2 linked regions of the Diceros bicornis minor genome follow. Each later gene encodes a partner of the first gene's protein in a complex. Links are inferred from orthologs where the notes say so. Each region holds a gene or a part of one and is shown on either strand. Other genes may lie near its edges. The genes, in order: ELANE and SLPI.

Region 1 (9,478 bases):
GCTTAGCCCAGGAACCGAGCCCTGGCTCGGTTTGGAGGGTCAATCGGGGCAGGCTTCCCGGAGGAGGTGGCCCTGAGGATGAGCGGGAGGGGGCCGGGCAGAGGGAACAGCACAGGCAGAGGCCTGGAAGAGGCACTGTAGAGTGGACGCGGGAGGGGGTGGCTGTGGGGCCTGGGGACGGGGTCTCACCTCCCCCCGCCACTCCTCTGCCCCAGCTGGACCGCCCGGCCACCCTCAATGCCCAGGTGGCGGTAGCCCCGCTGCCCGAGCAGAACCAGGAGCTGCCCCAGGGCACCCAGTGCCTGGCCATGGGCTGGGGCCGCCTGGGCACGCAGGAGCCACTGCCCAGGGTCCTGCAGGAGCTCAATGTCACCGTGGTCACCTTCCTGTGCCGGCCACAGAACGTGTGCACCTTCGTGCCCCGGCGGAGCGCCGGCATCTGCTTTGTACGTACCGCCCACTCCCGGGCCAGCACCTCGGGGGACATCCGGGGGGACTTCCCGGAGGAGGGGGCTGCCCTGGAGCGCAGGGCAAAGGAGGCGGGCGGATCCGAATCCCACCCAGGGCAGCGGCCGGCCATGCCTTGGTCTCTCCATCCGGGAGGCGGGCTCACCAACGAGGGGCTCAGGTGCGTGGAGCAGCCTCAGCTCCCGCAGGCGCAGAGGGGGCGCAAACATCATAGCCGGCAGCCTCCAGGGGTCCGTCTCAGAAATCATCGGGAATCTGGACCCAGAATCCCGGGGTCTGGGTATACAGCAGGAGGCCAATAGATGCCCGCTCTCCTCCGGAGTGGCCTCATCTCTCTCCTGCCCATGCCTCTTAAAGAAAATTCCACGCTGGAGACATTTTACCCCTAAATGGTGCAGGGCGGCCCCCGGGCCCGCGTCCCTGTGACTGACGGGCCGGTCCCCGCCCTTCCCAGGGGGACTCGGGCGGCCCGCTGATCTGCGACGGCGTCCTCCAGGCCGTGGACTCCTTCGTGATCCAGGCCTGCGCCACCAGCCGGTACCCCGACTTCTTCGCCCGAGTCTCGCTCTACGTGGACTGGATCCGCTCCGTGCTCAGCAGCGTAGGGGGTGAAGGGGCCCCCGAGCCGTACCCTTCCACGGCCCGCCTGCTGAGGCCAGACGCCGAGCCCTGACGGGGGGCTCATCTGGGGGGTCCCCAGAACGCTGCTTCCTCCAGACGCCCCCCCCCTCCCATGGGGCTCTCGGGAGCCAGGCCCCCCCAGTGACCTCAATAAAAGTTGGAACTCCCCGTCCGCCTCCGTCTGTCCTTCCCGCAGGGCATGGGGAGCGGCCGAGGGTCCCCGGCTCCGAGTCCCCGAGCCCCAGGCTCAGGATGGGGGTGGAGCGGAGGCCCGGAGGTGGGGGGCCCAGGCCACAGTGGGGACGCCCACAGACGTGGGTTCTAGTCCAGCTGCCAGTGTGGCTCTGGGCAGGTTGCTGCCCACCTCTGCGCCTCGGTTTCCTCATCTGGAAGATGGAGTCACCCCAGACATGTGCCAAAATGTCGGGGGAGCCCCAGCCTGGCCCTTGGGGCTGGGGGGTGTCATGTGGCTCTGGTCTCCCAGCTTGGGGGCCACTTGAGGACCAGGCCATCGTCACATGGGGTGTCCAGGCCTCTGGGGCTCCTGGTCCAGTCACGGGCAGGCTGAAGGGCCATGAGGGAGGCTTCCTGGAGGAGGAGGCAACACCTGAGCTGACTGTCAGTGTGTGACTAGAACACAAAGAGAAGGGCCGCCAGGCAGGGCATGGCGAGTGCAAAGGCCCTGTGTTGGACGAGCTGGGGGGTGTCAGGAACAGCTCGGCGTGTGGTGTTGCTGGAATGGAGAGAGGCGAGGGGATAGGGGAGGAGAGCAGGTCAGGGAGGTGGTGGGGCCAGAGCACATGGGGCCACGGAGAGGCACTGGGGTGGGCCTGGAGGAGAGAGAAGAGGTAGAGGTCACTGGTCAGCCATGGAGAGGGCGAGCGGCCACAGGGATGAGGCAATCGAGGCTCAGAGAGAGGGGCCGACCCGCTCCCGGGGGCACACTGGAGTGGGAAGGCAGCTCATTCCTTATTGATTTACTCTGCCGCCACCTGGTGGCAGCGTACAAATGGGAGCGAGGGCGAGTCCTCCCAGACCTGCCCCGTTGTCCACTGGTCCACACCTCGACTGACCACCCCCGGGGAGGAGCTGCACCTGCTTTGGAGCAGCAGTGCCAGGAGCAGACATGGGACATGGCCGCCGATCCCGGGAAATGTAGCTGATGAGGATCAGGGGCTGCTGAGAGTCCTCACCTCTCCCAGGGGCCCGGGGCCGGGACGAGGTTTCTGTAAAGAGCCCAGAGGGACCTCCCGGTGCCCGGGGTTGGGGTCTGCGGGAGGGAACGTCAAGAGAGCCTGACAACGGGAACAGAGAGACCCAGACACCCAGCCCCGGGCGTCTCCTGTGGGTTCACGTGTGTGAACGGTGGTCAGAGGAACGTTCTGCGCCCCAACGATCAGACCCGGGGGGAGTTGAGGATCGGGGTCCCAGGGGCACCCGGTTGACTTGCCGAGGTCAGCGGGGGCTGCGGACACGTGGGGAGGACAAACCCACAGGAAGAATCAAAGGACGTTTCGGGGGACACGACTGGGGAGGCTCAGGGAGCGAGGGGCCCCCAAGGGCTCAGCATCCCCCTGGCCCATCCCCAGAGCCCTGATCACGAGTCAGAACTCTCCAGGGGTCCGGGTCCCCCAGGCAATCCCCGACCCCCGCTCTCCTGGGGGGTTAATGGTTGACACGCCCCAGCGCGGCGCCGGATCATCTAAGGACTTAACTCACCTCCGTTCACCGAATCCCCGAGACAATCCTGAGACGGAGCCGATTGTCACAGTGGGAAACCGAGGCACGGGTGGGGGGTTACGTCAGGGGCCTGAAAGGAGGCAGGGAGCGATCGGCCAGCCAGGATATGAACCCAGAGTCGACTCGCTTAACAGTCATGACACGGGGGAGCGTGGTATACAGGTGGTGCTCAGTAAATGCAGCTTTGGCTACATAAGGTGTCCTTTCTAAACCACATCCCCCAAAGACAGGGCCTCCTCCATTCCCCCACCCTCCCAACTAGAAACAGGGCTGTGTATACAGCAGGTGCTGACTAAGTGCTCAAAGGTAGCTTGAACGTGACCGGGTGGGGAGGTTAGCAGGGCTGGTCGATGTGTGTCTGACCAGGGGAGGGATGGGGAGGGGACACCGAGCGCCTGCCGTGTGCCCGGTCGTCCTCGCTGGAGAGATGTGGGGGGTCGTGCCCGTGGCCACACAAGGCGGGGACTCCAGCCCGGGCCGGGCTCCCGGCGCCCCTCCCTCCTGTTCCCGCAGAGGATCCGTTGGTTCCCTTCCGTGACCCTCGCTTCCAGCCGGGGGGACGTTGCTTCTTGCAACACCCAGTTCTTCCAGGCAGAAGCTCCCAGACGTGGGCGGAGACCCACGGTCCGGCCTCCAGGCCCAGACATCCTTTCTCCAGCACGTCCCCCCGACCCGGGTGGGAAGGGGTCCAGAGAGGCTGGTGGGGGGAGCCGATTGGGAGGGGTCCTTTCCCGGAACCTCCGCTGGGGACCCGAGACTGACCGGGCCCCCGGGGGGGAGTGAGCTCCCCGTCGCGAGCAGCAACCAAAGAGAGGCTGGACGGCCGGACCCCGAGAGGGAGAGGCCGTGGTGGGGAGCAGGGGCCACGTCCAGCTGTGAACTGTGGGGCCTGGGCTCAGAACCCTCTGCCCCCGCGTCACCCACTCATGGGCCCGCCATGCCTCCGTTTCCCCATCTCAGAGGGCCCAGCAGCCCCCGCCACCCCTGTGGAACGCCATCGTTGTGGTTATGAGGGTGCCCCGGGGAAACCGAGGCGGGGGGCCCAGCCGACGTCCCTGGGGCACTGACCCTGCAGATAAGCGTACCCCGCCTGGTATTTGGGACGGACTTGCACTAAAACCGGCGAATCCCACGTTCAGACGGAATGGCGCGTCCGAGATTGATCCGGACCCCCGGCCCCGGCTCACCTCCTCCCATGCTTCCTGCTGTCACCCCCTCGTCTCCACGTCCCCGGGGGGGACAGGAAGTGGGGCAACGGCAACGGCCTCGGCGTGGGGGCCATAAGAGGGGCCGGCGGGCACGGGGGGCAGAGACGCGGAGCCTCGCCCGACCATGACTGGCAGCCGCACACCCTCCAGCCCTGTACTCGCCCCCATCCTGCTGGCTGTGCTGCTGGGCGGTGAGTGGGGCGGCGTGTCCGTCTGTCTGTCCCTGGACGTCTCTTCCTGCCTCTCATGGGCCCCTCGTCCTCGTGGGGAGGTGACGGCTGGGATGAGGTGACATGTTTCCAGAGGAAGAGACTGAGGTTCTGAGTGGTGGGAGTCCAGAGCTGGGGTTTGAACCGGGGGGTCCCTGGGCGCCCTCTGGGGACTCCAAAGCCACGTTAAGCCCCAATCTAGCCGCACCCCGGCTGGGGGACCATGGCAGCCCCCTCTCTGCGTCTCTGTGCCTCAGTTTCCCCATCTGGGCAGTGAGCACAAAGAGCCTGGACCCCTTGGGGTCCTGGTGTGAGCCGGGTGGCTGACCGGCCCTGCCCCCCCGTGTGCCCCAGGCCCTGCACTGGCCTTGGAGATCGTGGGTGGCCAGCCGGCCCGGCCCCATGCGTGGCCCTTCATGGTGTCCCTGCAGCGGGGAAGCCACTTCTGCGGGGCCACCCTGATCGCCCGTGACTTCGTCCTGTCGGCCGCGCACTGCGTGAATGGCCGGTGAGTCCCCCGTATCCGCCCCGGCCCTCAGTGTCCCCGTCTGTCCTCGCTCCTCGAGGGGCGGGCTGACCCCCGACCCCGGGGCCGCCCGAGTCACCCCCTGTCCCCCCGTTGCCGGCAGCAACTTCCGGTCGGTGCAGGTGGTGCTGGGGGCCCACAACCTGCGGCGGCGCGAGCGCACCCGCCAGACATTCGGCGTCCGGAGGATCTTCGAGAACGGCTTCGACCCCACGACGCTGCAGAACGACATCGTGGTTCTCCAGGTGGGGGCCAGGGGCCGGGGGGTGGACAGGGGGACCCCAGCTGTCACAGGCACGTCGTCTCTCTGTGCCTCGGTCTCCCCTCTGTGACTCGGGGAGACAAACCCCGCCTGGCCGGGCCTCGGAGAGATTGTGAGAGACGACATCGGGAGCTCTGAGCAATAGTCAATCAACAAACGCCGTTATTCGTGCCCTGTCACAAGTCCCACATTCGGGCCAGCGGGAGACTCAAGGCAGAAACCCTCCCATCCCACTCTTCTGATTCTTCTCTGAGAATGTTCTAGAACGAGGGTTTTATTGGCCTCAGTGTTGCCCATGGTTTGTTTTATTGAGCACCTACTGTTTATAGCACCATTATTAAGCACCTCCTGTTTACAGCACTCAAGTCATGTCCGGGGCGCCCCGGGCCACTGTGGTTGCTGCCAATTACAGACAGGGAAACTGAGGCCGGGGAGGGGAGGGCCGTCGCCCGCGCCCCGTGTGACACTCACGTGCTCTGTCCCAGCTCGACGGGTTGGCCACCATCAATGCCAACGTGCAGGTGGCCCAGCTGCCCGCCCAGGGGCGCAGCCCCAGGAACGGGACGCAGTGCCTGGCCATGGGCTGGGGCCGGCTGGGCACCAATGGGCGGCTGCCCAGCATCCTGCAGCAGCTCAACGTGACGGTGGTGACCTCCCTGTGCCAACGCTCCAACGTGTGCACGCTGGTGCCGCGGCGCCGGGCCGGCATCTGCTTCGTGAGTGCCCCCCGCGTCCCCCACCCCGAGCCCCGCCCGGCCCCAGCAACCCGGCCAGCGGCCGGACCCCGGGAGGGACTGCCCGACCCCGAGCGGGGCGGGGCCCGGGCAGCGCAGCCTCCCACCCCGTCTGTCGGGCTCCGCAGGGCGACTCTGGCGGGCCGCTGGTCTGCGACGGGCTGGTCCAGGGCATCGACTCCTTCATCCGCGGAGGCTGCGGCTCTGGCTTCTACCCCGACGCCTTCGCCCCCGTCGCGCAGTTCGCCAGCTGGATCAACTCCATCCTCCGCCGCCACGGGGACCCTCTGAGCGGGGCCCGCTAGGAAGGGCGGCCCGGGTGCCCCTGCCTCGCCTGCCCCAGCCAGGCCCTTCCCACGCCGCGTCCCCGGGCACCTCGCCCAATAAAAACCCTCTCCCTTTTGTAGAACGTGTCTGGCTGTGTGTCGGTTGTGCCAGCGGGTGTGGAAAGTCGTCAGGGCACCTCTGGGGTATGCTGCCACCAGGTGGCGGCAAATGTGGGGCATTGACGTGAGAAGTCCCTTCCCCACCTCCTTCCACGAAAGGATTCGGGTTACCATTTCTGGATTCCCCCCCATAAAACCCACTTTCATGGGATCACACGAGTGTCGCCGGTGGTGATGACAAAGCACTGTGGCGGTGTTCGTTGAGTGCTCACGAGGTACGGGAATGTTCTGAGTCTTGGGGGGACCTCACTCCTCCAGCCCTCGAGGGGGGTCCTCTTGGAGCCCCCGCCTCACAGACAAGGGAGTGGGGGCGCAGAGAGGTGTGAAGCCGGGCCCGGGAGCCTGAGTTTGACGCCCAGCTCTGTGACTTTGGGCAACTCGCTCACTGTCTCTGAGCCTCGGTTTCACCGCCGTCTGGAAAGGGCACAGCCTGGGGTGGGGTCCTGGTGGCCTCGGCTGCACTGGGTGACGGGGACGAGCCACCCCCCACCCTGGACTTTTGCTCTGATGAGGGAAGAGGGGCAGAGCACGTTTCCCGAGGGAACCACGCCCCGATGGAACCAGCCCTGGGGGGGCCTGTGCCCCTCTTCTGCCTCCCTGGGCCGGGGCCACGGGCGGGACCATCTCCATCGTGCAGCTCGAAGGCTGATGGTGGCGGGGCCACCAAAGCAGAGACAAAAAACGAGAGAAGTGACTTCACATAACGCCCCCACGTGCCGCGAGTTTGAGGTGAATCTCCCCCTCCGTCCCTGCCCCGACCCCTCCCGCTGGAGCTCGTGGCCCGGGGCCCACCCGGGGTCTTTGCCTCATTCTGCCCCCTGTCCCCGCGGGCCGTCCGCCGACCCCCCTCTCCCGGGGCCAGCAGCTCAGAGCGGCCTCCGCTGCCCCGAGATGGCCTCCCCCACAGACCTTGGCGCCTGGCGGTCTCTCCACGTCAGCGGCATCTGGGGACACTCAGGGTTGTTTAGTGAACCGGCCGGTCTCGCTGGGTGGCCTCCAGGTTTTGTTGTAATTTCATAATTGTCCCCTCTTACATAACCCGGACTCCGCATCCCCACGGCTGTTTGTTCAGTTTCTGATTTTAACGAGGAAACGTGTTAGTTAGGAAATCACGTTTGCTGTGTTATTTTCTATTTTCCTCTGCGTGTATGAAATCGTCTGCCTGGAAGGGAAAAGAAATAGAGGGGAAAGTATCACGCACGGTTCCCACTGGGGACGTCGAGGTCCCCCGACCCTGCTGGTCCCAGCACCTTCCCCTGTAGGTTCCTGAGGGGTTGAGCCAGCATCCCCCCCTTACTGAGGGCTGTGTGAGCCGGGGTCCACTCATGAGAACCCGCCATCCCCTGCCCCCAGTGCCTGGTTTGGGAGGGGGTGTGCGGTCCAAGCTCGGCCAACTAGAGGTGGCCTTGAGACACTGGCTGGAGTGATGGGGAATTTGAGGAGGCCCACAGAGCCGCTAGGCTGAGTCTGGGGCCCCGGGGGACAGAGTAGGGGAGCCTGGTGAGGAGAAAAGCCATCAAGGAGGAAAGTAGAAACCAGAGGCAGAGACCTGACATTTTTTAGGTGCCTGGATCAAGCCACACCTGAAGGTGGACCCTGAACTTTCCATTTGAATTTCCTCATCTTCCCCGCTGCCCCCCTACACGACAACTTTCCAATACTGTTGTTGGGGTGTCAGGCCCCAGAGCCACAGCCACGGGGACAAGGGTGTCAGGCGACCTTTCTCCCACCCCCACCCGACCTCCTGTCCAAGTTGGAGGAGGAAGAAAACAAAGGGAGGAGCGAACGCATGAGGAAATGGTTGTTTATAAACTATGGCCTCTAGCTGCTGTTGCGAAACCTCAGGGCCCCCTGGGGAGCAGGGGCTGGGGGCTGGGGTGGGTCCGGCTCTGCCCCCTGCCCATCCTGAGGGTCTGCTCCCCACTCTGGGGCCAGCCCTGGGCCGGGTGCGCAGAGGCGGGAGGCATCCCCGGGGGCCAACGACTCTTGGCGCAAAGTCCCCCAGGAGAAAACCCGCAGGAGTGGGCGGGACACAAGGTTCCCCTTTCCCCTGCTGGGCCGCTGCCCCTCGGACCATGGGGCTTGTGGGAGCCGCCCGCCCCTCTCCGCTCTGATAAAAGCACCCCCGGGGCCCCGCCTGGGCCAGTGTGAGGCCACAGCGGCATCATGGCAGGCCACACCGGGCACCTGGCGGCTCTGGTCCTCCTGGGCGTGGCCCTATGTGGTGAGTGGACCTGGGATGGCAGGGATAGCCGGGGGGCCACCCGCCTGCAGGGTGGTCAGCCAGGGGTCCCCCTCTGCCAAACAAGACTGTCCCCCAGCCCCATTCGGTGGGCAGGAGGAGCGGCAGGGTCCATGAGAGCGGAAGGCTCTGAAAGTCAAGAAATTCTCAGAACCCTGATGCATGAGCATCCTGCACTCCCCCCCCCCACAACAAGGGTCTGAGGGTCTATGGTGGGAAACGGGGGTCCGGGGTGAAACCACGGCGGGAGGGTTGGGTTTGGTCACCCCACTCTTCTCCTGTTTAACTTGAAGCCCTTAGGGCGGTGTGTAGGGAGGGAATTGGCTCCAGACCCCACCACGCCCTATTGCCTCTGTCTCCTCTGGCACTCCTCCCTGGCCCCCAGATTTGAGACTGGGCGGGGGATCCCAGGGATGGAATTTCAGGTCTGAGGGCTGGGGCGGCCTGGGTGGGGAAGGGGCATCCGAGGGCTGGGCTGCAGTCACCCGGAAGCCCTCGCGCCCCCTGCCGCCCCCAGCGGCGCAGCCCCGCGGCCGGATCCTGCGCGGCCAGGAGGCCGAGGCGCACGCGCGGCCCTACATGGCGTCGGTGCAGGTGGCCGGCAAGCACGTGTGCGGGGGCTTCCTGGTGGCGGCGCAGTGGGTGCTGAGCGCCGCGCACTGCCTGGAGGACGCGTGAGTGCGGGCGCGCGGGAGTACAGGGTGGGGACCCGGTGCGGGTCCGGGGGGAGGGTGGATGGGGAGACCGGCTCTGACCCGCTTGGACTCCCCCAGGGCCGGCGGGAAGGTGCAGGTGCTCCTGGGCGCGCACTCCCTGTCGCAGCCCGAGCCCTCGAAGCGCCTGTACGACGTGCTCCGCGCGGTGCCGCACCCGGACAGCCGGCCGGACACCAACGACCACGACCTCCTCCTGCTGCAGGTGGGCCTGGCCCCGCCGCGGCGCCCCTTGCTGCCCCCGGGACCCCGGCCCGCCCGCCCCATCCCCCCGAGTCCAGCCGCGGTCCCTCCTGCTGCACTGGGGAC
Region 2 (9,953 bases), on another chromosome or scaffold:
AAACGGTACTGGGAACTACAGAGGGAAGAAGGCTGTACTAGTCAGCATTCTCCAGAGAAATGGAACCAATATATATATATATATTGTAGATAGACAGATAGACAGACAGACAGACAGATAGATAGATAGAGAGATCATAGAGGGAGGGAGAGAGGAAGAGAGAGAGAGAGAATGAGAGACATATTTATTTTAAGGAATTGGCTCATGCAGTCCTGGAGCCTGCAGGTATAAAATCCACAGGAAAGGCAGGAAATTCAGATAAGAGCTAATGTTGCCTTCTTGCCCCTGAATCTGCAGGGCAGCAGGCTGGAAAGTCAGGCAGGGTTCCTAGGTTTCAGTCTTGAGGAACATTCCTTCTTCTTCAGGAAACCTCTGTCTTTGCTCTCAACTGATTGGATAGGCCCACCCACATTGTGGAGGGTAATCTGCTTGACAAAAAGTCTTCTGATTTAAATGTTTAATCACATCTAAGAAATACCTTCACAGCAACATCTAGATTGGTATTTGGCCAAACAACAGAGCACCAGAACCTGGCCAAATTGGCACATAAAGTTAACCACCACAAAAGTCTATACTGTTTTAACACAAACAATAGAGACCCATGGCACTCTGAGTAATAACAGAGCTGCCACACTTTCTTGTGCTGGGAGATGCGAAACGAGTCACATCTAACAATAACAACATGAAGAGCTCGTTTCTGGACCCATAGAGGAAGAAATGGTGCCTGGATACTAAGAAGAAGCTTCATATGCTCTGGCTGGACAATAAGAAAATATGTTGGCACCTCTTCTCTACCATTATTCCAAATCGTCATGGATGAATCACTATATATATATATAAATCACATGGGCCCGTGAATTTTGTAATGTATTTTTTAACCAAATTGTTTGTATAGATACAGGCCCCAGAAAAATATTTGCCGGGGTCCCCATACAGCCTAGGAGCAAGAGGGGTCCAGACTCAAGCACTGGGCTGTAGTTGGAGCCTGACAGCTCCCTGTACGCCTAGTGTACAGTGTAGCCGACTGTAATGAGAACAGTGTCGGCCATCCTGACTGCAGCAGACACTGTGCTGAGGTCTTGCCAAATACTCCTCGCAACAACTGTGCGGCATAAAAGAAACCAATACTCCCATCTTACAGCTGAGGAAACTGAGGCTCAGAGAGGTTCAGCGAGCTTCTTCCAACCCAGATGACCCTGACTCTAAGTTTAGGTTCTTAACAGTCATGCGATATGGACTCCATGTATCTCCTTCATTGCAGCCTCAGGACCTAGCACAATACCTGGCATGCAGTAAGAACTCATTAAATAGTTTTTGTGTGAATGAATTGAATGACTGAATGAGTCTACGGTATTCAGTAGAAGGCAATGGAGGGCATGTGAAGTGGCTCAGTGAATCAATCTTGAGGTAAGATTGAGTTAGGAAGGGATGCGTCCACCACCAAACATGTTCTGGGGATCAGCACTGGAGTAACAAGTTTTGGAAGAGCCCAATCTTGTCTTGTGTAATTAACTCATTATGCAGCCTTGGGCTCATACCTTCTCCTGACAGCAGCAGTCTCATGCTGCAAGATGGAGGTTTGGTCTAGATCAAGAGTCAGCAAACATTTGCTGTGAAGGACCAGAGAGCAAATATTTTAGGCTTCCCTGTAAATAATTTAGGTCTCTGCTGCAATTACTAGACTCTGTGACTGTAGTGGGAAAGTAAGTAGCCACAGACAATACATAAACCAATGAATGTGCGCCATGTTCCAATAAAGCTTCGTTTAGAAAAATAGGCAGCTGTCCGGATTTGGTCCAGAGGCTGTAGTTTGCTGATCCCCGGTCTAGATGACCTCTGAGACCCCTAACAGTCTATGATTTAAAGATTTAGAACCAATTGTGTGTTGGACAGAAATGATCATACAATGTCATTATCCTCCTACGGTGCCCATGGCAGACATTGCTAACTGATCACAGGGCTCTTTTCTGATGAGAAAGGAGTTGGCCTTATCAATCAATCGCAGATAGAGAGCTCTGGCTGTAGCACTCTCTCTTTCTCTCTTTAAGAAGCAAATATTTAGAAAACTCCAGACCTGTCTTGAGTGTGACGTTGAAGAAGATAGGAAGAAACAGAGAGTGGGGGGTGTGGCAGCTTCTCCCACTCTCATCCTTGTGTGAGAAGAGTCAAGCTGCCCCCTGGGTGGTGTAAGTGAGACCCAAAATCCAGAACCTAAGCCAAGCTGTTTCACCTGACAGTGATGCTGCCCATTGGCAGAAGTCAGCCCCTCCGCCTCTCTCTTGCCCTCCTGAGCGCTCCAGCTGGTAGTGAATGCCCCTGGCTCCCACTCATTATCCAGCGTGTGCTAATTTTCTTCATTCTCTTTTCCCACCAAAATGTAAACCATCAAGTGACTTCTGCGTAGAGGGATCTGCTGCCTGTTGACTGTCTAGTTGGAGAATACTTTACAAATTAATTCATGTGGAGCCGTCACTGCTTGATAACGCCTGACTTGTTCAGGTGTATTTGAATTTTTACAAACTTTCACTTTGAGGAATGAGTGGGGAAATCCCAAACATCAAGAAGTCACATGATATTGAGGGAAGAGCTTGGGCTTTGCAGTTAGACAAGTTTGGGTTGAATTCTAGAGATAATGATCACTCTTTGGATAATTAGAAGCAATCTAGGCAGACTGGGTAGCACATAGAATAGGTTTAATATATGGCAGCCATAATTCTTTTATCACATGAAATCTGTAGGGGGTTTTGGGGTAGAAAGCATTCCTCTAATGTCCCAGATTACACAATACAGTCATGCACCACATGACGACATTTTGGTCAATGATGGACCACATATACAACAGCGGTCCCGTAAGATTAGTACCATATAGCCTAGGTGCATAGTAGGCTCTACCATCTAGGTTTTGTGCAAGTACACTCTATGATGTTTGCACAATGATGAAATCACCTAATGATGCATTTCTCAGAATGTATCCCCATCAGTAAGCAGCACGTGACCATGTAACTAAATGTTGATTACAGTGACCAGTGAGCAGCTTTGCCACTTTGTCACAGATTCATTCCAATTCTCTTCAGTTGTAAGGGATACAATTCATTTATTCTTTTCAGGGTCCTTTCACACTCTTAATATCACAACACCCGGGGCTGATTTGTCAGTATCATCCCATTTCACAGTTGGGAAAACTGAGCTCCAAAGAGATTTGCTGAGGGCAGAGCTCTTCTTTCTGCACATTTTATTTGACAATTGTTAATGAGCACTTTCCATGTCTCAGGCACAGAATAGGCCCGGGGATACAGTGGTGTGAGTATTTTTGGGAAATAAATATTTGCTGGTTGACTGATATGTTGTCTGATCTTTTGAGAAGGAAATTGCACTGACAATCAGGAGAGTTTCACAATCCCCAAGAGTCCAGGAATGTGAGAATTGGGGGTGCATTGCTCAAGGTCCCAGCTGAAAGGCCACGTCTCCCGTTTCAGCTCCAGATGTAAATAGTATCTATGGGGAATCAGAGTTGGCCACCTCAAAATATGTCTCTTTACCTTGATTATTTTCTCTGAAGGACATTTGACCTTCCCCCAAACTGCCTAAAAGGGATAGACTGGGAGGGTCCTTGTTAAGCCCATTCTTATCAAAGTTCTGTTTAAGGGAAATCTCCATTTGTAAAGATATCTCCCTCTCTGCACCAGGAAGAAGGAGGATGACCCTATCTCTAGAAACTCTTATCACTGTGCAAGGCGAGGACTTAAATCTGCATACTCTTGATTACTGTGCTTTCTGGTAATCTCCCATAGCTGACTTTCCCCAGCCCCAACATCCTCCTTTGTCTACCTGAATATGCTATTTAAGGTGAAAACCTCTGCTATTTGTCAAGAAACTCAGTTTCCCTGGTTTCTCCCATGTATACATATTATAAAGCTTTGTTTGATTTTCTCCTGCTATTTGGTCTCATGTCAATTTAATTTGTAGCCCAGCCAGAAAGGACCCAGAGTGGGTAGAACATAGTCTTCCTCCCCTTCACATCTTTGCAGTGACCTCTGCTCCCCCTCTCCACCTACAAGGCTAATGGTCCTGTGGCCCCCACCATGTTCAGGGTTCTGATGGACACCTGACATGACCTCCTTATCAGCCTGGTGATATCTTCCAGGCCAGCCTCTTCTATTTCTTCCCTGGCGTTTATTCTGTTGGTCTCACAGTCTCGCCTGGGACAGGAAAGAGCCACTGTCTCTGTGGTATCAGGACTAATGGTCTCTCCCTTAGCTTCCTGCCTATGCAATCACAGCTGGGAGGGGCCAAGGAAATTCTGGTGGGGCCACACCCACTAGTGAAAGTATAAATAGTGAGATTTGGCGTCGGCCATTAGAGCCACCCCTATCCCCACCATGAAGTTCAGCAGCCTCTCTCCCCTCGTGCTTCTTGCCCTGGGAACCCTGGCACCTTGGGCAGTGGAAGGTGCTAGAAATGGTGAGTTGGAGTCACCTTGGTACAATCTTGGCTGCAGGGTCAGACTTGGGGGCTCCTGGTGGTGTGGGGATATCCCCTTCTCTAGGCTCTGCCCTCTCAGCTTCATTTCAGGAGACCTCCCTGAGGGTGGGTTCATGTCCACCTGGGCTCCCAGGTCTCTGTGAGGGCTTGTGAGCATCTGGAATGCTTCTTTTACTCAGCCACTCTGTCAACCCAGGTCTCACTCCCTCTCTGTTCTTACCCCGCCCCTCCATTACCCTGTCTGTGACTCTCCAGTCCTCACTCTCTGACTCTCTGATTCTCCTTTGTTTCTCTCTGTTTCTGTCGTTTAGTCCCTGTTTTCCTGCCTCTGGCTCTAGCTCTCAAACTGTCATGCTGGTTCTATTCATCTTTGTTTATTTCTCTCCATCTCCATCACTCCCAGACCGCCTCTCTGCCTCTGTGAAGACTTGTTTTTCCCCGGGGGCAGGAAGCCTTGGCTGGGAGCCCTATGCCTTTTTCCAGAATCTGTGACTTCTCCTGCCCATGTGTTTAATCAAGCCTGTCACTCCTCATGGAGGTCAGACAGGAATTTCCCTTTGGACTGTGTGGACAGTCACCTGGGTAAGGGTCTCTCCTGGGAAGTGATGGTTTGTTCCCAAGTCATGATGGCTCCTTCCTGAACCCTTGACCTTCTCCTCAAAAGCTTCGAAAGCTGGAGCCTGCCCTCATATAATACCTGCCCAGTGCCTCAGATACGAGGAGCCCGAGTGCCAGAGTGATTGGCAGTGTCCAGGGAAGAAGAAATGTTGCCAGGATGTTTGTGGAATCAAATGCCTGGACCCCGTTAACATCTCGAGCCCAGGTGAGGAGGTGGGAGAGCGGATGGAGGGGAATGAGCCTGAGAACACAGCATCTACAGGGACAGGATTGGGTGATGGGGTCCTGCCAGGCCTCCTCCTTTCCAAGAATTGTTGAGCCAAGTTTGTCAGCTGGTCAGGAGTCATACTGTTCCAGACAGGAAGTTACTCACCTGGCTGCTGAAGCAGCCAGTCTGTCAGGAGGTCAATTTTTCAGGGAATAGTCATCTGGTCATTAGACAACCAGGCAGTTGGCAGCCACCCATCGAAACAGCACTGGACAACTGGTCACCTGCATTGGTGGGGGCCCTGATGTTAGAGGAGAGCCAGATCCTACCTTCAGGGGATACATAGGCCTCAGGAAGGAAGTGCTCGTCATGGGGATGGGGAGGAGGTGATTCTCTTTGCTCAGGCTGGGGCAGGGCCTGGGTCCAAGAAGCAGAGGGGTGGTGTGAAAGGTACAGGCCTCTGACCTGTGGCTCTACACTCACCAGTTGAGAAGAAGCCTGGGAAGTGTCCAGTGGTCTATGGCCAATGTCGGATGCTTAACCCCCTCAATTACTGTGAAACAGACAGCCAGTGCCTGGGTAACCTCAAGTGCTGCAGGGGCATGTGTGGGAAAGCCTGCATTTTCCCTGTGAGAGGTAAGGAGGGGCTGGGAAGACGGACCTCCCTGCCTCCAGCCCTCTCAGTCTCAACCCTCTGGAGGGCCGGGCATATGAGCAGGGGGTCTCCTGAGCCCTACCCCAAGCAGAGCCTCTGCCTGACCCCCTTGTCTTTCAAGAGCACTATTCCCCAAGCCCTAGGGCAAGGATTTCTATAGGATCACTCCTAGCTTTGATTCTGTTCCAGCCTCTCCAGTTGAGGACCCTTGACAAGTGACTCTTTGAGTCTCAGTTTCCTTGTCTGTAAAAGGGACACAGTGAAATTGAAAGTGCTTTGTGAAGCACTGTGTGCACTAAGTATTTATTATTATTTCCAGCATGTTGTCTTGGGTCAAAGCCCAAAGGATCAGTGGATTTTAAGAATAATCTAGCTCAATGCTCTGAGTTTAGAGTTTTATAGTAAAATTGAGACTTGAACTCAGTCTCCCGATACCAAGACTCTTTCAACGATACCACCCCCTTGCTGTTTTCTCTGGCTCGGGGGGGTCTCTTGGGGAAGCAGCTGGAGATGATTTGGCTGGTTCTGCACTGAAGCTCTGATCTGATTTTCTCTCACAGCCTGATTCCTGCCGTTTGGAAGAGGCTCTGGATCCCTACTCTGTGCGGTCCGAGAATTCCCTTTTTGCTCCCAGACCTGGATCCCTGGGGCACTTCACCGTGAAGACTTGGTTCTACCATCAATATCTCCTTTGGGGAAAGGCTGGGCACACAGTAGGCTTTCAGGAAATGCCTGTGGATTGGTGAATAAATAAATGAGCATATTTCTCTCTGTGCATCCTGCTTCTGTGGTTCACTAGGGGGTCCGAGGTGGGTGGGAGGTGACGAGGGAATGTCTGGATGTGAGGCCTCCCTCCTACAGATACGGAAGGGAAGGAAGAGGCTTAGGGGCTGGACAGACATGAATTTACATCACGAATCTGAAAACATTGGCTCGTGATTTTGGACAAGTGACTTTGTCTCCTAAATCTCAATTCTTTATCTGCAAAGTGGCAATAAAAATCACTTTCTTACAGTGTTTGGAGCTTTGGGGTATGCAACGTATGTGAAATAAATAACAATGTTACTGGGCCACAGCAGGTTCTCCAAAAATGGTGGATTCTTGCCTTCTGCGGTGATTTTGAGCCTCTTTCTTTTCTTCTCTCTCTCAAAACACTATTTCTTCTGTCTTAAAATAAATGTTGAGCAGAACAATGTGCACAAGTTATCAATCCCAAAGGAGGACCCCAAGCACTTCTGCCCACTGCATCTTGATATCAGAGTCTCCAAGGAAAGCACAACGCAGCCAAGGGCTGCATGGCACAATGCTTTACTTACACAGCAAAGAATCGGCTTCTGTGGAGGGCCTCGATCTCCCATGGCCAGTGAGTCTCTCCCGGCAGCTGAGGCAGGGCAATTTACCTACGTGCACCCCTCTCATGCCACAGTAGAAGGACTCCGTCCCCTCCCAGTAGAGGACAGATACAGCACTGGGGCTGGCCAGATGCCATATAGCGCACACACTACACAGAACAAAGGAGCTTACGTTGAGCTTGAAGCAAGGAAAGATCTTCACACACGAGGCGATAGGCCTGGCACAAGCTGTGTGGGTTCTTTATCTCTTGGTAAGTAAATATTTCAGGTCCAAGGCCCGTTCTTATGCAACTGAGTGGGGGATGCATGTACCAGACTGCCTTTCCCAACAATAAGAATATTGTCATGGTGGGTCACGGTTATGACGTGCTGTTGGCCAATACCACGTGAGGGTGATGCTCTTGACTCCATAGAGCAGGAAGAGTAACAAAAGCCAGACTCCTGGAACTGGGGACGAGCAGGGAAGCTTGCTTCACATTTCTCTGGGCTCTACAGACTCTAAAGGAAATAGAGAACATGATTAGATAATGATTAAAAAAAAGACAAAACAAAAAATTGTAATGTAATCATTTCCCGGAAGACTTCACTGGTCTAAGAAAATATTCCATGCCACTTTCAAGCAATGTTCCAAGAGCAGCAACTGGATGTATTAAATAAACCGTTTTGGAGAAGAGGTGAAAGAGGGGAAGCCATTTTATTTGTTTTATGAGTGTGGTAGCCACCCTCCAAGATGGCGCCCAGTGATCCTCGCCTCTTGGCATTCACACCCGTGTGTAGACCTCTCCCACATTTTTGCACGGTTGGTCTGTGTGACCAATAAAATATTGCATAGTGATAGATAGTTTTGTCCTTATGAGATTAGATGATAAAAAGATTGCAGCTTCCATTTTGGAAGTGCATGCTCTCTCCCACCACTTGCTCTGGCAGAACTCAGCTGCCATGTCACGAGGACACTCAGCCAGCTGTGGCGTGGCCCATAAGGTAAGGACCTAATATCTCAGGCCAACAGCCTGTGGGGAACTCAGGCCCACCAGCAAACACACAAGTGAGCTTGGCAGGAGATTTTTCAGTCCTAGATTTTTCACAGTCTAGTCTTGAAATGACTCAAGTCCCAGCAGAGAGCTTGATTATAACTTTGTGAGTGACCTCGAGCCAGAACCACCCAGCTCAGCTGCTCTCGAATTTCTGACCCTCAAACTGTGAGAGAATGTTTACGGTTTTAAGATGCTAAGTTTTGGGGCAATTTGTTATGCAGCAATAGATAACTAATGCAATGAGGTTAGCAAAACTTTGATGCTACAACCAAATATGGACAGTAGAAGAAAAGATAATTACAAACCAATGTTGTCTTCTCTGAACAAAGCTGGGAACATCCTAAATAAAATGTTAAAAATTAGAATTCTGTGAGGGTTTAAAATGCTTTCAGGAGAATTCAATGTGAATTCTTTATTGAAAATAAGAATAGAAAGGATAGAAATTAATCCAAAAAAAGAAAAAAGAAACCTACCTGAAACTCTAGCAAAACCTACATTAAGTTGAATTTTCAGAGGTATTGTCGCTCAAGTCAGAAAGAGAATAAGGATCACTGCTGTTTTTCAACAGTGTATGAAATACACAAAACTATGCAATAAGATGAGATAAAGGGATATAGCATTTCTACACATTATCTATAACCAATTAGAAATAGTAGAAGTAGACACAAACAATCAAAGAAACAAATCTTACAATATACCCAGAAATAAACCTAAAAATTATGCCGGACCTTAGTGGATTAGGAAAAAGAAGAATTTTATTGAAGGTCTAAAATAAGAACTGAAAAAATGGAGAAATAATTATTATATTTGGGAAGGCTCAATAAGGTAAAATTGCAACTCTTAAAAAACTATTTATAGGGGCTGGCCTGGTGGCGTAGCCATTAAGTTTGCGCACTCCGCTGCAGCGGCCCGAGTCCACAGGTTTGGACCCTGGGCGCACATTGACGCACCACTTGTCAAGCCACGCTGTGGCGGCGTTCCATATAAAGTAGAGGAAGATGGGCATAGATGTTAGCCCAGGGCCAATCTTCCTCAGCAAAAAAAAAAAAAAGAGAGAGAGAGGCGGATTGGCAACAGATGTTAGCTCAGGGCTGATCTTCCTCACAAAAAAAAAAAATTATTTATAAATTCAATATAATTGCAATAAAAACTCTAACATGATTTTTTAAAACAGCTTGACAAAGTGATCCTACAGTTAATATATTAGTATAAAGCTTACAGAAGAACCAAGAACATTTTTAGAAAGTACAAGAATGAAAGCTAGCCAGACCGGGTATCAAAAAAACATTATTAATTATATTAATTGTTAATTATAACAATTAATGTAGTATGATGTTGGCATAGGAATAAAAAAATAGTTTAATGGAATAGAACAGAATGTCTAGAAAGAAACCTGTGTATTTGTGGACCTTTTTTATATAAAAGGGAAGAATTTTTACAACTGGGTAGGGCAAAGCTCAAACTAGTAATGAAAGCAATTGGCTTTTTTTTAAGTTCACTCAGACAATTTTTATTGAGTTTAACAGTAGTCTTTAACATAGTGTATTAGTCAAGGTTCTCCAGAGAAACAGAACCAGTAGACTCGGTAGCATATTTATTTATAT

Evidence for each region.
Region 2: the proteins of ELANE (region 1) and SLPI are in contact, whole or in part, in a crystal structure (PDB 2Z7F), measured with the Homo sapiens proteins. The link is inferred for Diceros bicornis minor from reciprocal best matches to the Homo sapiens genes ELANE and SLPI. Residues at the interface, in NP_001963.1 of Homo sapiens: His53, Phe54, Cys55, His70, Cys71, Asn74, Val75, Pro111, Val112, Asn113, Leu114, Leu158, Ile165, Leu180, Arg182, Val197, Cys198, Phe199, Gly200, Asp201, Ser202, Ala216, Ser217, Phe218, Val219, Arg220, Gly221; in NP_003055.1 of Homo sapiens: Tyr93, Gly94, Gln95, Cys96, Leu97, Met98, Leu99, Pro102, Phe104, Met121, Cys122.

The regions. Positions count from the first base shown.
Region 1 is NW_026691553.1:442,509-451,986, forward strand, and holds ELANE (neutrophil elastase), read left to right. Parts: upstream 1-4,152; 5' UTR 4,153-4,161; coding exon 4,162-4,228; intron 4,229-4,600; coding exon 4,601-4,754; intron 4,755-4,875; coding exon 4,876-5,017; intron 5,018-5,519; coding exon 5,520-5,750; intron 5,751-5,896; coding exon 5,897-6,073; downstream 6,074-9,478. Other genes in the region: myeloblastin-like, read left to right, coding at 216-446, 923-1,095, 1,286-1,366, 2,679-2,859, 3,790-4,113; CFD (complement factor D), read left to right, coding at 8,381-8,438, 8,974-9,130, 9,230-9,374. UniProt on the Homo sapiens protein: Serine protease that modifies the functions of natural killer cells, monocytes and granulocytes. Inhibits C5a-dependent neutrophil enzyme release and chemotaxis. Promotes cleavage of GSDMB, thereby inhibiting pyroptosis. Promotes blood coagulation.
Region 2 is NC_080758.1:15,990,987-16,000,939, forward strand, and holds SLPI (antileukoproteinase), read left to right. Parts: upstream 1-4,367; 5' UTR 4,368-4,379; coding exon 4,380-4,461; intron 4,462-5,146; coding exon 5,147-5,305; intron 5,306-5,794; coding exon 5,795-5,944; intron 5,945-6,523; coding exon 6,524-6,528; 3' UTR 6,529-6,733; downstream 6,734-9,953.